2 linked regions of the Saccharomyces cerevisiae S288C genome follow. Changing the gene in region 1 together with any one later gene gives a genetic interaction. Each region holds a gene or a part of one and is shown on either strand. Other genes may lie near its edges.

The links.
Region 2: mutations in LTO1 (region 1) and GRX3 together harm fitness more than expected from each alone (negative genetic interaction), as found in Saccharomyces cerevisiae (one large-scale study listed by BioGRID).

Annotation. Positions count from the first base shown.
Region 1 is NC_001146.8:156,015-159,063, forward strand, and holds LTO1 (ribosome biosynthesis protein LTO1), read right to left. Parts: upstream 1,334-3,049; coding exon 845-1,333; downstream 1-844. Other genes in the region: ORC5 (origin recognition complex subunit 5), read left to right, coding at 1-525; copper metallochaperone ATX1, read right to left, coding at 1,630-1,851; DSL1 (Dsl1p), read right to left, coding at 2,095-3,049. UniProt on the Saccharomyces cerevisiae protein: Essential for life in oxygen, but nonessential under anaerobic conditions. Required for biogenesis of the large ribosomal subunit and initiation of translation in oxygen.
Region 2 is NC_001136.10:643,678-647,259, forward strand, and holds GRX3 (monothiol glutaredoxin GRX3), read right to left. Parts: upstream 1,254-3,582; coding exon 501-1,253; downstream 1-500. Other genes in the region: mismatch repair ATPase MSH6, read right to left, coding at 1-160.

The sequences.
Region 1 (3,049 bases):
GAAAGCGCGATAACCACAAATCGTGATGACCTTGAGAACAGTCAAACTTACGACTTATCAATAATTTCGAAGTATCTGCTCATAGCCTCATATATTTGTTCATATCTGGAACCTAGATACGATGCGAGTATTTTCTCTAGGAAAACACGTATCATACAAGGTAGAGCTGCTTATGGACGAAGAAAGAAGAAAGAAGTTAACCCTAGATATTTACAGCCTTCTTTATTTGCTATTGAAAGACTTTTGGCTATTTTCCAAGCTATATTCCCTATTCAAGGTAAGGCGGAGAGTGGTTCCCTATCTGCACTTCGTGAGGAATCCTTAATGAAAGCGAATATCGAGGTTTTTCAAAATTTATCCGAATTGCATACATTGAAATTAATAGCTACAACCATGAACAAGAATATCGACTATTTGAGTCCTAAAGTCAGGTGGAAAGTAAACGTTCCCTGGGAAATTATTAAAGAAATATCAGAATCTGTTCATTTCAATATCAGCGATTACTTCAGCGATATTCACGAATGATTATCTCCCTGGAAGGTATCCAGAGGGCAGGATACGTTCGAAACAACAACTACGTTATATAAATATTTATACATAGTGGGATAGAATGAACAATTATCAAGTAAACCTTGTATTTTTTGTTCCCACGCTCTACGCTCTGTTTCTTGGATATGGTAATCAAAGATTAATACGTATAACCGTTATTAATTCAGTCCACTAGAAACTATTAAAAGCGCCCTACTGTATGGAAAAACAATGAATGAGGAGACTGAACGGCGCAAAATTGTTAGTTTAGTTGCTCTTTTTGGCGGCCGGCGATAATGTTCTTCACTTGGTATTCTTACCAGGATTGAGCCTGATTTTGTTTTGTCTTATTCTTTGCGATGTCTTCATTTTCTACAAAACCTCTAATTTCTCCGGCAATGGCCCTTGAAACGTCTTCAAAGACTTCAAATGTCACGGTGGGGGTTCTTTTATCTTTAACTAATCGATGAAGAGTTATTAGAATGGTTCTAAACTTATTTTTCAATTTTATTAACACCCTCTCAAATTCCATCACACTTTCATCATCGTTATTCATTTTCAAACCTTTCATTAAAGTACGAATGGTATGTATATTCTTTTCTAGTGTTGGACTATGCAATCCATACGATTCTATAACATCACACAAACCTTCCATTTGTCCCAGGAGCGTAAATCTTTGGAATCCCACTTGTAAACCATACTGTTTACCTTCTAGAAAGCTCTGCTTTATATTCTCATTCTGGCCCTCCAGAAAACCTTCTTGGTAATACTGTTCTTCTAGGTTTAGTAAATTATCAAAATCCATTTTTATTTGTCCAGTGATCTTTACTTTCCATTTACTCTTCAAATATGATAAGTGATTTGATTTAAACAAGTTTTTTTTCATTTTTCTTATAAAACGATTTCTCACCATGATTGAGATTTTTATATTAGTAAGATTATACTGAAAAGGCAAATGGCTACATAGCCAACAAAGAATAAAACAATAAAACAATAAAAAAAGACTTTTTTCTTCGTAAGCATCCTATTGAGAATATTAATCATTTACTTAAGTAGCTACAATACAAAATAGAGTAAAAAACTATTTCTCTTCACTTTCATTCACAATTGTTTGCCAGATCTAACTTCCTTTCCGGTTTTCTTAATCTTTTCTAAAATAAAATCGTAAGGAAGTGTAGTATATACATCTACTAATTGCTTTTCAAGGGATATATCTATTTTGGAAACGTCTGGTTCTAATTTCGTCAAAACTTTATTGACTGCACCAGAACATCCCGAGCAGGTCATGACGACATTGAATTGATAATGTTTTATCTCTGCCATCTTTTGCGCTAGTTCTCTCTTGTGTCGTTGGAAATCTCATCCTGCAATGTTTTAAGATGATTCAAGTCATTTAAGAAGCTCAAAAATGCACTACAAGATGTGCCAACTTTGCACCCCCAAAAAAAACTACCGCATCACGTGAAATTTATTAGAAAACTGAAAAAAAGACAACTTACGCATACGTAATACAAGATGTACATCTATTGCAATGATCATGTAACCTATCCTACGATTAATTATTTTTTAATCATCTAGAGCAGTGCCTCTAATTTCGTAAATATCATCAATGGCATTCCTTCGCAGGGGAGTGTCGGCAAACAATAACTCTATCCATTGGATTAGTTCGTCTGTCGCAAAAAGATAAAAATCCCCATTGTAAAACATCTCCATAATCTCCTTTAAATGTAATGGTAGAAACTTGCCCATAGTGGCGAATTTTTCTCTCATCTTTTTGTAACTTGGTTCCTTCGCTAATAATTGTATATCGGTGTTGTTCACTAATAAAGATACGAGCTCACCCAAATTTTCGGAATTGACCTCAGAGATAATCTGCCATTTTAATATTTCCTTTGTCACGCAATCGTTATATAAAAAGTTTAAGAAAGACAACAAGTAACGGGAACCTTCTTCACCTCTTATTTTCTGCAGTGGACGAACAATTTCCTTCAAGATATAAGGTAGCAGTTTCTCAATGGTGGCGTCCCACGATGGATTTCTCTCGTTCTCACGAAATTCGGTCAATTGATGCCTGATTAGTTGACAGACAATACGATATTTCATGTTCAGTTTAGTTTCCAGCAGGTTCCTTGTTAATTCTTTTATTCTATACAGCTTTTCATCTCGTTCTATTAGATATCTCATATCCACATATAATTGGCACCAATTGTGAGAAAAATTAGCTGTGCACATGGCCATATACGATGTCTGCAAAAGGTTGTATTTGTACGCAAAGTATTGCTCATCAACATGGCTATCTGCAAAGCTACTCTTGAAATTCTGTGAAATTGCCAAGAACAATTTTGGTAACTGTGTAACTTCAATGTGGTCTTTATCAAGTGATCCTACATCATGAGCTTTTAAATGTTCCTTTCCATTTTCTAGGGAAGCATCATCTATATTTTCGTCAATTGCCCAGGCTTCATCCCAGGCATTTTCTTCTTCTTCTGGTTCTTTTTCCTTCTCTTGATTTGTTTTTTCT
Region 2 (3,582 bases), on another chromosome or scaffold:
TCGCTGGAGTAGGCTTCTGGACCTTCTTTGACGGTGTGCCAGAAGGTACCTGTTTTGAGAAAAAAGATAACAAACTCGATTGCTTCATTTTCTTTTGAGAAGATGTGGAGCCATTTTCGAAGTGTGCAGTCTTAGAAGTTTTAGGGGTAGCTGGGGCCATTTTGGAGTTCAAATTGGCTTTGTCAAAATTAACTAGTTGCTCCAATTAAAAAATCTTATCTGTTAGCAAAGAAGGCTCCAAGGAAAAGCTCTTATTAGTTTCAACAGATGTAATTTCAAATATTTTCTCTATATGGCGATGACCTATACATGAATTTATGAAAAAGTGAGACGCGTATCAGCTACTGCTCACGCGTTTATTTTCTCCGGGCAATGGTTGTTCAAAAAGCCAAACTTAACCAGAAGCCATTCATTATGTCACACATATAAAAATGCTTGCATACCATTAGTTGGAAATGGAGACTTTTCTGTTTCAATTTACACTAAATACATCTATTTATTTAAGATTGGAGAGCATGCTGCAAAAAATCAGGGTCTTCCTCCAAGGATTCCTTGATAATGTCTAAACCGCCTTGAAACTCCCCATTTATATAAAGTTGAGGGAAAGTTGGCCATTCAGAAAACTTTTTCAAGTTTTGTCTAACAGATTCGTCTCTTAATATATCAAAGAAGCCAAATCTTACTTGATGTTCTCTCAAGATACCCACAAGTTGTCTCGAAAACCCGCATTTAGGTTCAGAGGGGCTCCCCTTCATAAATAACATTACCGGCGCGGCATTGACCAATTTAGTCAATCTAGCGTTTATTTGCTCCTCAGTTTCTTCTTCCTCTTCTTCGTCGTCATCGTCTTCATCATTATGACTCCCCTCATTTACGTTTGCATTTTCCATAGTATGAGTTTGTGATGATCCGGAATTGACTGAGTTCTTGCAGTCTTCTAATAAAGACACATACTCCTTTGGATCCGCGCCGGATAATTCTTTTAAGATTGTCCCTTTGTGAATTATGATAAAATATGGAACAGCTGAGATTTCAAAAAGTTCTGAAATTTCCGAGTTTTCGTCCGCATCAATGGATAAGAAAGAGACGTTGGAATTGGAAGGCTCATTACTAATGGCCTCAAAAACCTGCTTTAATGCTTTGCATGGTTCTGCCCAACTGGTATGGAAATAAAGCACGATTAACTTGTCGCCGGCCGCAGTGGTAGTTAGGTAAGTAAATTGCTCTTGATCGTTAATTTCAATAACAGGCATTTCCTGAAAAAGTTTTGCTGCTGTGTAATATCTTGCTTGGTGGCGTTTATAACAGTACGAGGTGTAGTTAAAAGAAAATGCAGATGGAACCTGAAAAGAACACATTTAGTCTTTGAAATATATTTTAATGACCTCTTAGTTTGGCATCTCATGACCCGGCACACATTCTCTGAAAAAAAAAAAAAGTAACTGATGGTTCAACAGAGAAGCCACAGTTAAAAAAGGTCCTACCCGGATTCGAACCGGGGTTGTCCGGATCAAAACCGAAAGTGATAACCACTACACTATAGGACCGTAACAACTGTGTATTGTTGTATTACGGGCTCGAGTAATACCGCAGTGTCTTGACAATCCTAATATAAACAGTCTTAGGGAAGTAACCAGTTGTCAAAACAGTTTATCAGATTAATTCACGGAATGTCACTTATCTTATATATTATATAAAATATGAATCATACTAAGTGGTGGAAGCGCGGAATCTCGGATCTAAACTAATTGTTCAAGCATTTATACGTTTGGGTAGTTCAGCTAGGGAAGGCCGTGTTTTATCTCATGTTGTTCGTTTTGTTATTGAGATATATGTGGGTAATTAGATAATTGTTGGGATTCCATTGTTGATAAAGGCTATAATATTAGGTATACAGAATATACTAGAAGTTCTCCTCGAGGATTTAGGAATCCATAAAAGGGAATCTGCAATTCTACACAATTCTATAAATATTATTATCATCGTTTTATATGTTAATATTCATTGATCCTATTACATTATCAATCCTTGCGTTTCAGCTTCCACTAATTTAGATGACTATTTCTCATCATTTGCGTCATCTTCTAACACCGTATATGATAATATACTAGTAACGTAAATACTAGTTAGTAGATGATAGTTGATTTTTATTCCAACATACCACCCATAATGTAATAGATCTAATGAATCCATTTGTTTGTTAATAGTTTAAATGTTTTTATCGGAAGAGGTTTTGTCATCACATCAGCAATGTTCTTCTTGGTCTCGATGTAGTATACGTATAAATTATTACCTGATACTTCATCTCTAAGTCTCATTGCCTTTGTGCCAAAAAATCTGTTTCTAAATTTCTCTTCATTTGTAGACTTAATTATACTGATCGTTGATCTACTATCAGTAAGTGAGCCTTTAATAATTGGTTTCTTGTTAAGTTCTTGCACAAGGTGACTGAGGTTATTCAATAGCGGAATAGCTTCACTGACTGCGTGTATTTCTGCTTCTGTAGTTGAAGTGCATGTTAACGAAGCCTTTGTCGACTTTCCTCCAATCACTTTTCCGTTGAGTAGGAAAATGTTACCAATTTGTGACTTGTAATATGGTTGGTTACCATATGAAGCATCGCTTATTGCGACTAGTTTATTATCTGGCTTGGTAGGTTTGTTTTTGTGCCATATTAATTGTTTATCTCTAGTGTCCCACATGAATTGTATTAACTCATATGTCATGTCTAAAACTTGCCTAGAGGGGAATAGTATATGTTGAGCAAGTGTGTTGATGTAGTATAGTAAGTCAAATCTAAATTTATATCCAACATATGAAGCTAGACCAATCAACTTTTGCATTTCATGCACTTTCTCTTTGTATTCATCTTCATCTATTTCTAGTTCATCCTGGTCTATATAATGACCTGGTTGACCTGGAGCTCTAAGTTTCTTTCCTTTTGGGTTCAAAGGTACGTTTAGTTTGGGTAATTTTTCTGTCAAGGATTTTTCCATACCTAATTTCATGTACTTGCTTCTTTGATATTTGATCTCTAATCCAAGTATGTCGTACTGAATTTCGTTATCACCTTCACCCAGATTTATTATCTTTGTATCGTATTGTTTCTTGAGTGTTGTTATGATTTTCTTATTTGCATTTAAGTCTTTGCTGAACAATATCATATCATCAACGAATAAGCAAATTGTTACTTGACTATTCTTAAATACGCATGACCATCCACGAACTTCTTCCATACCACACTGTTTTATCAGGTATGATTTGATAGTTTCGTACCAGTTCGCTCCACTTTGTTTCAATCCATAAAGTGATTTCTTCAAACGTATCAACTTATCATTCATTCCTAAATGTGGTGGAGGTCTTATGTATAATTCTTCTTTGATGTCTGCATACAAATATGCCGAAGATATGTCTAATTGTGTAATATAGTAGTTATTGTCTAATGCAAGTGACAGGGATGTCATTAATGCATAGTGATGTACGGTATTGGATTGCATGCCTGAGTCGTAAGTGTCAGGATGCTGAATATCACCTCTTGCAACAAATCTAGCTTTATGAGTACCGTCACGTTTCCTGTTGAAG